Linked DNA regions of Drosophila melanogaster. The protein of the gene in region 1 interacts with the protein of each later gene in a pairwise test. Each region holds a gene or a part of one and is shown in the gene's direction. Other genes may lie near its edges. The genes, in order: CG10616, Rtel1 and kmr.

Evidence for each region.
Region 2: the proteins of CG10616 (region 1) and Rtel1 interact in a two-hybrid assay, tested with the Drosophila melanogaster proteins (one large-scale study listed by BioGRID).
Region 3: the proteins of CG10616 (region 1) and kmr interact in a two-hybrid assay, tested with the Drosophila melanogaster proteins (one large-scale study listed by BioGRID).

Annotation. Positions count from the first base shown.
Region 1 is NT_037436.4:12,469,640-12,473,396, forward strand, and holds the start of CG10616 (uncharacterized protein), read left to right. Parts: upstream 1-2,088; 5' UTR 2,089-2,197; coding exon 2,198-2,290; intron 2,291-2,382; coding exon 2,383-2,557; intron 2,558-2,907; coding exon 2,908-2,998; intron 2,999-3,067; coding exon 3,068-3,193; intron 3,194-3,286; coding exon 3,287-3,334; intron 3,335-3,545; coding exon 3,546-3,757. UniProt on the Drosophila melanogaster protein: May play a role in the trafficking of a subset of G-protein coupled receptors.
Region 2 is NC_004354.4:5,745,620-5,749,376, forward strand, and holds the start of Rtel1 (regulator of telomere elongation helicase 1), read left to right. Parts: upstream 1-2,127; 5' UTR 2,128-2,249; coding exon 2,250-3,299; intron 3,300-3,374; coding exon 3,375-3,757. UniProt on the Drosophila melanogaster protein: A probable ATP-dependent DNA helicase implicated in DNA repair and the maintenance of genomic stability. Acts as an anti-recombinase to counteract toxic recombination and limit crossover during meiosis.
Region 3 is NT_033777.3:13,713,056-13,716,812, forward strand, and holds the start of kmr (kramer), read left to right. Parts: upstream 1-2,151; 5' UTR 2,152-2,764; intron 2,765-3,757.

The DNA of each region.
Region 1 (3,757 bases):
CTGAAATGATTCCCCAATGGAATGAGATGGGATGAGATCAGTTGGGATGGGATGGGATCGGGTGGAAAGAGGAGCGAGTGCAGAAATCTGGATGCGAAACGATATGGTTCAGCAGAATCACCTGGCGATAATGAGATGTCTCACTAAGCTGATCAGAACTGCCTTTGTATTTATTTGTCTGTTCGAATGCAAAGTGCACAATGCACCGAACACTCGTGCATATATGTTTCTTCGATTTGTGAAAGGCGAATCATGAATGAAACGCTGCTGACGATGACGTTCGAGTGCCCTCATGCCAGAGATCCAGAGCAAACGCAAACAATCGAACAGGAATAATTTACTAAGTAAATAATATCTGGATACCGATCGCTGCACGGTAAGAAATTGCGTAAACCGGTGACCCATATTGCTCAGCAACCAAAGAAACCTTTCAGCACTGAGATATTTTTCATTCCATTGTTTTCTGGGATAATTTAAAGTAACAGAATTATCTTCTTACAACATTTTTTTGTCTTAACTTGACAGTAAGAGTTCTTAATTAAAGTCTGAAATTTTTAAAAATATTTTTTACGATTTTTTTTTACTAGTTTACTCAAGATCTATAGCAATATTTAAAGAGTTGAATCAATGGTCTCTATGGAATAGTGTTATATATGGTATATACATATTTCGTAACCATTTGATCCCAATTTTGGCCAGTGTAATCCCCGCGAGTAGCGTGCGCCCTCGCCCCATCAAGTGGCACTTCAACAATCAAGCATTCACACAAGCAGATGGTCCGCAGCCGTTGGCGACCACCTAAATGAAATTTCATTTAGTTTTTTTTCGCCCGTCATCGCCGCCGCAATCGCAACCCGCTCCTCGAGATCTCCCCATCCATCGCAGTCCATCCAATCCATCCGTCCAGCGCAGAGTTCCAGCCCCAATCCCAATCCCAATTCCAATCCCAATACGGTCTCCTATTTGCTTATGCACACATTATCAACGTACGCCCGCCTTATGGAGTGTTTGTTTACCTAATTCGATTACCGATCGCGTCCGTTCGCGCCATAGTCCACCGGCCACTTGACCATTTGGGTGGCACGGATCCGTACTCATGGGGTCCGCTCTTCGGCCAGACGTCGTGCGTAATCGCCCCACGGCAGCTGATGCAGTGCAGCGGAATTGGGAGATGGAGATGGAGATTATGTTGCTGCTGGAGCCGGGGGCCTTAATTGAAGAACCTGCCACGGGGGTACATACATACATACTTTCATCGCTTTGCAGTCGCGGAGGTAAATTAAGTCTTAATATCCTAAGTCGAGTGTCTAAAGATTAGGAAAATAAACACTCAAGGACTTTATCGATTCGTAAAGAAAAATCAAAAGTAAACTGCAATTACATTTCAATAATAAACAACCCTATATCAAAGAGTCTTCTTTAAATTACTGCTTGTCAATTTCTTAAAATTAATAAATAAATCTATTCAATCATGTTCTAATTGATAAAAGTAAAGTGTGCCTATTCTCATAAAATTTGTATAAACATTCAGGGAGTTATTTAAATAAGGTATATTTACGTATTTATACGTATACAGTTATTGAATGTTATTTTTTTTTTTAAATGCCTCGCCAGGAGCTGTTAAACATATATATTATATTATCTAGATGTTGCACATGGTATTTGAAACACTTTTTAAATAAATCTTGGACAAACATGTAAAATTTAGTAGTTATTCTTAGTAAAAAAAAAGGGTAATGTTGTTTTATTAATTACACTTTTTAAAATTTCGAATATATTTTTAAATTTAACAGTTTTCTAGAGATGGCAAGCTTTTTTAAATAAACTTCGTTAAATATCGATAAGAATTTACCTCATAATCCATACTTTTAAAATATAACCTTCGGTCACACCAATTCATAGAGCTGGTGCGTATCGATAGTCGGCACATTCAAAATAAATAAATTCCCAAACACCATTTAATTAAGGTCAATGGACTTGATTGTGGCGTTATTTTTAAAATCCGAAAATAAATAGCAATTGAATTCAAATTTGAATAGCTTAGCACTATCGCTCACTATCGAAATTTAGCCTCGATAGCAAGTATTCGATTACAGCTACTATCGTGGGGGGTGTACCCAGCTCTAAAAATTTGTCATTTCGGAACGAATATAGTTAACATTAAATTTACGAAGTAAACAGAAACCCCAGAGCCACGATGCGCACAGTGCTGTTGAGCAAACACGACGAGCTGTACCTGGAGAAATGCGCACAGGAGAACCAGTTCTCGTACGGGATAATCGTGGGCCATGTAAGTGCCATCCGCCACGTAGATTTTGTTTGGTTCCCCCGCTCAACTGAATCTCCACTTTCTCCTGGTTTCATCCGCTTCGGTTGAAATAGCAAGCGGATCTCACCAAGAGCGTGGTGGTCCACCTGGCCAGGAACAACGAGGAGGATGCGGATCTGGAGGACCTGTCGGAGGTCCGGCTCACCATCTCGGACATCAACTCACAGGCATTGGCCTCCCAGTGGCTGAGCGCCAGCAAAATGTGTCCCGGATCTTTTGACGTCATCGGTGGGTTTGCGTGCTGCCCCTGCAGTTTTATCTGCCCTACCCAGAAATAATCATAGTCATAATGCTAAGGCATATTATTTATGGGGACCTTGTATTCCTCCCGTGGATTCGAAATTTAGCCAAACCCTTTTTTTTTGTATGTTTTGTATATGGGCTAACCCACCCAATTTGACTGTTTAATCTGTCAATTCGAAACTTTTGATCTTTCGTCATAGATAAATCTTTAAGCTATCAGTAATGGGTAGTGAAACCAGTAATGTAAACTTAGGTACTTAACTAAGATGAAAGTAAGCGAAGCTTTAGGACTTACCATCTAGAATTAATTATTAATGAATTATTTATCTTTGCAGGAATCTTTGTGTCTTCAGTAAGATCCGATGTAGTAAACGAACAGAGCGCCGAATTTAAGAATGCCAAAAAGCTGTTTTCAGATATTTACGAGTAAGTCACTAACTATATGAGTATGATATGAGTCTCCATTTGAAATGACCTCTTTTCTTACTTTTCCAGTTTGCTCCTGAAAAGCAACAGCTCGTTTGGCGTCTACACCACCGACATTGCACAGACTGATTTCGTATTCCTCTCGTATTCGCTGGCCGACAAGAAAGTGCTCTGCAAGAACTACAGCTATGGCAAGTGAGTATCGGAAACGTAATCCCTGATCACAGATACGGGTCTCAATGTGTATTCTTTCTTTCACCAAACGAATCGCTTACAATTTATAACTAGACATTGCAAAAAAACGTATTTTACGGCAAACATAAAATGCATCATATGGTAACTAAAAAGTTGAGAACTATGTACTTTCATAACTTATGTTCTATGTTCAATAATCACTTTCTTTGCTATCCTTGTCCTTGTGTTTCTTATTTCTTGGAATGCATTTTATGTGTTAGTTAACCATTAGGATTGTTCATGTTTATATGGTAGTTTGATTACATTCAGACTTTTCCTAGCCTAAATATAATATGAGTATTTCTTTTGATAGCGGCGGCACTTTCACCAATATGGAGTTCCGGTTTGTGGACAAACCCTTCGAGTGGATTCAGCTGGAGTGCAGCTACGATTTCGATGATGTGCTGCCCATACTGGACTCCTCGCGTCGCGTCAACATCGAAGACCAGTTCCAGAGTATGATAGTGTCGGTGCGCAAGAACCTGCTCGCCAGTGAAGTATTCCTCCAAAACGAAGTTGTCGAGG
Region 2 (3,757 bases), on another chromosome or scaffold:
ATGGAGAGCGAGGGAGATGGCCTGCCGAAGAAGGGGCGATGGAGGAGAAAAATGAGAAAGGGGGTTGGGATGTGGTGGATGCCGATGCCAGGGGGAGGAGAAGGAGGAATGCGATTAACCAAAGCCGGGATAACGATAACGATCACTCGGCGATCGCAGGCGTAACCCACATCCTTACACCTTAAATTAGGTCAGCCAGTCTAAATGTGTTTTTACCGGAGGAGCCGTAATTGTCTTGAATTCGAGTGCAAAACATTCAATTTCTATTTGAATAAGAGCGCAAACACATACGCACACTCGCGCACATGGACATGCACACACACATTCGCACACACGCGGCTCGGTGTAGTTGCCAGATACCCCCACTTCGGACAGGTATAACGTTGAGCGGAAATTAAAATATATCTATTAAGTTTCACAAATTTTGTCTTAAGTAAAAACAACACAAAATTCGTATTAAACGAGCGGTGTGTGATTTATCGTTGATCTGGCAACCCTGCTCCGACGTGTTGGAATGGTACGGGTGGCTGCGGGGGACGAGTCGGCCTATTGTGTTTGATGGCAATCCACAAAGCTCACACACACGTTTAAACCAAAACGATATAGGGCCGAGCACTTCAAGTAATCGAGTTTTTTCCGTCTAATTAATCTCGGCGCAGCGATGTTTTGGCCAACAAAATGACACGGCTCTTTGTCGGAATTCACTTATGCAGCAGCGGCAGGGTTGTCAGAGCTCGAAAAACGGTGAAGAAATAAACACACTTTTTCTAGTTGTTTCGCATAAATGGGGGGCGGCAAAGGGGTGCAGGGCCTTTGATTGGTGGTCATTTTTCATTTGGATGACCTTAATTTGCATGTGATAATGCTGATTAGTGCAGCCGCGTTATCGGCACGGTAATCGTTATCGCCAGAGTTGCAAGCGCCCGCCCATCGACAGCCCGCCAAAGCTTTCGAATTTGAAAATGTGTGGACATATTTTAAAAGTGCGATTCTAAGGATCGCATGGTTAATATTTTAGATCTAAATTTTCTATCTCAAAAAAAAAAAAAATGGTACAACATTCATACACAACTACACCGGCAGCATCTTCGAGTGAGAGTTTCCGGCCAAAAAAAAAAAAAAAAAGAATAACTAAAACAAAAACGCACTCACAAGAAGAGGAATGTTTCTCCTCCACCCAATACTCGCAATAATTTTCGATTAGCTTCTATATGCCGCGCCACGATTTTTTATTCTGTTATATTTTTACTTTGTGCCAACAGAAATTTATCACCACCGCGCGAGAGAGCGAGAACACACACGCACACACACAGCCAGAGTGCGCTCTCTTTCGCTCTGCCGCCGAGGTGCATAGGCGAGAACGACCGACAGACGCGACTAGCGGTCGGACCGACCGACCGAACGACCGTCGCTATCGCCGTCCCCCTCTCGCTCGTAGGTTTGTATCGGGGAGTTGTTGCTTACACGCACTCGCACACATACTTTTGCACACTGGCGCCTCGTCACTGTTGTTGCATTGCTGTCGTCCACTCCTGCGCTTCTTCTTCTCTTGTTCGACTCGCTTCTCTTCGGATTTTACTTTGCTGCCGAGCAATAACAACACAACACTACCGTTCTCAAAGTTCGAATGATTTGATGCCGTTCTGTGTTTTTTTGGTGTGGCCGAGAAGCGCCAAATCAGTGGGGCCGTATCGCGGCGATTCGGAAAAGCCGAGCGAAGGGGTCACGATAAATGGATTTGTGGTTGAATTAACTGAGTTTGTAATAATTGATGTCAAATATTTACTTACCTTGTTAGGGGATTTATATGTATGCTGCACATTTAATCTTGAATGCCATTAGTTCATTAGTTTGGTATAATCCATAACATTCACTTAAAATGTTATATCGTTAATCTTTGATCCAAATAAACAGAATCACAACTACAGTATTCCCTCCAATGCTAATAAGTTTATAAGTTTCAGTTACTATTATCCATAAGGTACCATAAACACGATTGCAGCACTTTGGGTGGTGATTAGTACTACTATTACGTTTAAAATAAACTACGCAGGGTTTGACATGCAAGTTGTAAACATTTGACTCGGAGTTCAAGATAACGCTATAAAATTACTTAATCAGGGTCCACTGTACTCTATCGATAGCGATAACTGACCACCTACACAGACATTTATTGTTATCGACCAACGAACACATGTTCACTCCGATTTGGCGCGTAAACAAGTAAATAAATAGTATTATTAAGAATAATGCCGGAGAGCCTGATCGCCGGCATTCCGGTGCACTTTCCGTTCGAGCCGTACCCGGTTCAACGGGCGTACATGGAGAAGGTGATCCATTGTCTCCGCGATGGCACGAATGGAGTCCTGGAATCGCCAACCGGCACGGGCAAGACCCTAAGCTTGCTGTGCTCATCCTTGGCCTGGATCCGCACCAGGCAATCGGAGCACCAAAAGCAGATGGTTAAGATGGAGAAGGCAGATTTTTCGGGTCTTGGAGGCGGAGCACCTGGGGGAGACCTGTCCGAGCTGGCCAAGACCATGGGTCGTGCGAATAACTGGGGCGTGCCCAAGGTCATCTACGCCTCGCGCACCCACTCCCAATTGACGCAGGCGATGCGGGAACTCAAGAGGACAGCGTACGCTAACATGAGATCCGTGGTTCTGGGCTCCCGCGATCAGCTATGCATTCATCCGGAGGTCATGCGGGAGCAGGGCAACTCCAACAAGACCAACATGTGCAAGCTACGGGTGCACTCCAAGACCTGTTCATTTCAAATGCGCGTTGAGTCGCGAAAGGATCATCCCGATTTGCGCGGACCCACCATCATGGACATTGAGGACCTGGTCAAGGTGGGCCAGCGACTCAAGATCTGTCCCTACTTCGCGTCTCGGGAGTTGGTTCCCCAGGCGGATATCACCTTCATGCCCTACAATTATCTACTCGATCCCAAGGCTCGCAAGGCCAACAAAATCGAACTGGGCAACACTATTGTGATCCTGGATGAGGCCCACAACATCGAGAAGATCTGCGAGGAGTCCGCTTCGGTGCAGATTAAGTCCTCTGATGTGGCCATGGCCATCGAGGACGTCACGCATATCATGCAAGTCTTTGCGAGCGGCGAGTCGCAGGATATGGCTGGAGATGAGCCAAAGGACTTCACACTGGACGACCTTACACTGCTCAAGGAGATGCTGCTCGAGCTCGAAAAGGCCATCGATGCCATCGTTGTGGACAACGCCGTCGATGGAACTACCTTTCCCGCCTCCATGATGTACGAACTGCTTGGCAAGGCGAATGTAAGATGCACTAAATCTTATCGGAAATGTTTTTAAAAGAATGCCTATTTAAAAATGTAACTTCCTTTATTGTAGTTCACCTACGGCAACGTTGCAACGATAGTATCCCTGCTGGACAAACTGGTGCAATACCTCCTAGTGGCCTCCCAGCAGATGAGCATCCGCAAGGGCGGCACCTTCACGTTGCTTAGCGATCTACTGACCATTGTGTTTGCCAACAAGGAGGATGTGATGAGCAAGGTGTACGCAAGCTTCAAAGTGCATGTCCTGGTGGAGGAGTCCAAGCAGGGACACGGTAAGCAGCAGGGTGCTAAACAGCAGGGCGGTTGGCTTGGCAAGGGAACGATTGCAGCAGCGACTGGCTTAAGCAAGGTCGCAAAAATCATTAACTTCTGGTGCTTCAATCCTGGCTTCGGAATGGAGCAACTGCTCAACACCCAAGTGCGCAGCGTAATCCT
Region 3 (3,757 bases), on another chromosome or scaffold:
CAAAATAAATTCGTTTTGAGTTTTATGCAAATTGTATACAACCAACAACAGCAACAACAACAACAAACAAAGGCCAGACGAAATGCATGGCATAAACTTTGCCAACTTGGCTGGCTGCAATTGTAGTTTGTGATGTGGATGTGGATCTGGATGTTGCTCTTCCTGGTGGTTGGGGTTGATGTTGGGGCGGCTTTGATGGCATCAAAGTGAGCTTGTCGTTGTGCAGACAAATGTTACGTACTCTCGTCACACTCTTACGTATGCAAATGTCCCTTGCCATTGCCGGCGCAATGCTGCAGTGCGTCCTCCACAATTGACAATTGTTGAAAATGCAAATGGAAATGGAAATGCCAAGACATGTGCCCAACAGCCACACCAGCAATTCATACATATGCCATGGATAATGGATACTGGGCGCACTGGAGGTGTGTTGGGGGTGGCATGCGGCGCATTGAGGTAAAGACAAATGCAAAGGCGTTGTCTCTACTATCATCATCCGGCGACGACATCTCCTCAGATAAGATAAACGATGGCAAAGTCAACAGCAACAACTGGTTGGCTACGAAATGCACTGCAAGAAAATGCAATGAAGTATGCTAAATACACTTGGCATGAATTTAATCTATTGCTATTGTTGAAAAGTGTGAAATGAATATTCTTAACCAGTGTCTTACATAACATTTCTGTATTTTGTTGTATTATAAAACGAAATACAAATAGTTTAATCAAATTTAATTATATAATATTATTTTATTATTACTTTTTGATATGAGTACTTGACATTTTTCTGAGTGCATGTGGGAGAGGTCAGTGTAAATAAGTAAATACGACATTCGTAGCCCAGAGCAGGCCGAAATAAATTCTCAAGTGCAAATGAGGTAAATGACAAGAGGTACGAAACCATCATAACCTCTGACCTGCCACCGATCCCCCCTCCACCAACGAGCGACCCATAAACGCCCACTTTGCCGAGCATTTGACAGTCGAGAGCAAACATGTCCAAGATGAACATCCATTTTGCATTTGGGAAATGAAAAGCGGGAAAGCTACAACTGACGTACATACTAGCATACTAGCAGACAGCTTGTCTATGCAGCAGGCCATCGCCATCCAATCCATCTGGGCGTGCAAATGTATCTGTATCTGCTATCCAGTATCTGGCGCTCGTATCTATTCCGCCTGTCGTCTCGTCCGCCTTTTGCAGCTTCATCAAATATTTAGCGCCAGGCAGGCGGCTTTATCTCGAGGGAACTGGAAGGAGGGACAAATAAGCGCATTCATTGTGTTCGTTCAGTGTAAATACGAAACGGATGTAGCACTGCTTGGAAAATAACAACTTTGTAAACTTAAGAGCCTAACTCGACTAGTTTGGTACTGTAGAAATATGAAAAAAAGGAAAAACTATTGTACACAGCTATTTGTAAATATCCTCGATGGATAAATTTATATAAAAAAGTTAAGACTTAAGACATACTGTGTACCTTTATTCAAACTAAAACATTTATACCATATATAATAGATACCAAGAATATTCCAGAGATTTCTCTTGATATAGAATTTCTGAATTTCTGAATGAATGGCGTTGTTTTATGTGCAGCTTCTTTTTGGTAATTTCATCGATTTACCAATTTATCACTTTCCTGCGGGCAATCACTTGTTTTGTTAGTTTTCCTTGAGTACTTTTGTCCACTGCACTTAATAGCATCGTTTTAAAATGTGAAAAGGGAAAAGTTTGCGAGCTGTCCAATCACTAATGAATTAAACAAACATTGAGGGCATCGACGTTATTTCTCGTTGAAACGCAAATTTAATAAACCACCCACACCTATGAAAAAACCACCGAAACGCAATATACCCCTGCAGCAGATGCTATCTGGAGAGCAGTCCGAACTACCCTAGTCAAAATGGAAAATTGGGAGTGTGGGGCAGTGCCAACGACCAGCCAAAAAGCCGGCAACAACAAACGCCCGCGCTGTACCACGCCGGCAACATGTTGCGTGTTGCTGCCGTGCGAGCAACATTGCAATGTTTGCACTCGCGTGTGTCGGTGTGTGTGCGTGTTGTTTATCTCGCTGCCACTTGAAATGTTGCCAAGAAGCCGGCCAGCAACATTAGCAGCATTTCGAAAACTTGTTTTCAACGTAGTTGGGTTTAGTTTACTTTGAGACGGCGACGCAGGTGGACGTGTCCGAGTGCGAGCGAAAGAGAGCGATAAACGCGAGCGGACCGCGTTATAAAATATTACAAAAACAACAACAACAACAACGCCAACAAGAGCTCAGTTCATTTCAGTGTTTGTCTTTAGTTTTATGGCGCACGCTGCGCGTCAGGTAGTTTTTCAGTTGTATATATGTACGTATGTACATATAATGTTTTTTTGTGATTCGTCTCGCGGCAATGTTTTATGGCTGACAAAACCATCGAGCGTGTAAAGGTTTTGCACTAACCGTACGACGAAAAAGAGGAAAAAAAAAAGAAGTGATGTACATTCTACGAGTAGATGTAAAGTGCTAGTGTTTACCCTTTTTTGCCGGGATTACTCATCATCGCATCGGCGCATCATCGACACCATCATTATCATTCGTTTACTAGCGGGCAACTTTACGAAATCCCAAAAAACCAGTATCGCTGTGCCCAAGTATCTGCAAGATACGTGAGGCAGTCCAGACCACATATTGGAATTTACTTAACACGTATGCAACACGCACCCATACCAGTTAACATCGAGCGGGACCCATTGGATTTTGGAACCGAAAACTACAGGGTAGGTAAAATCGCTTGTAAATCGGGGTTTCTTCTCGAGAAAAACAAGAGACGCGAAGCAAACACTCACACACTTGACCAGCTGCGTTTTTCCACCCTCACCATAAAACCTAATGATTCCGAACTACCTGTTTTTGGATTGACCCTGGTTTTCCCATTAGCCGCCAGAGGAGATTTCACTGCACCAGCGCATACCATATAGTCCATATATCGGAAAGCTGTGCGGCTATTTATAAATCTAGATACCCTGCGTTTTGGGGCCCAGGCTCAAATCCGGTTTTCCATACCCATATATCCCCCAGCCCAGCCCAGCCATCAATTCAATTTCTACTGGCTGAGTGAGTTTTTAACTCACAGAAGAATCTCCATCTCCAGGTCGAGCATCTTCTTCGCTGAAGATTTCTGAAGAGAGCTGGTTTCTTCGGGCCGTTTTCTTTTCCCTCGCTTTGTTTTCTTTCGTTTCGTTTTCGTTTTTTACTATTTGCCCGATCGTCGTGGTGATCATGATGCTGTGGCTTATTGCCGCCAAGATTTTTTCCACTTTTTTTTTTTTATGATTTTGCTTTTTGCCGATTGAAGGTGCATGGCCTTATTTACCCAGTTTCCAAATCGCTCACCGATTTCTGCTTATTCTGTTTTGGGCTTTGTTTTGAGGTATTTGCTGAATCACACGGGGATCATTTGAATCTTTTAGCCAGACAGTCACTGTGTGGAATTGCGATTGGGATTTTATTTGAGAGTCACACCCAGTCCGTGGCGAATGAGCTAGTATCCCGCTCCGGAATTGACTCACGGCCAAACAATGCGACATGCGGCGAAGTGCTGTGGGGCCACGCTGGCTTGGGCAAAAGAGAAAAAATCAAAAATGCAAAACTTGTTGCTAATAAACAACAATTACAGCAAAAGCAAAAACAAGTTCAGCTAACCACAAAAATGCTGGCAGCTAAACTCTAGACTCGTTGCCCAGGAGCTCCGCCGCACTCCACTACACTCC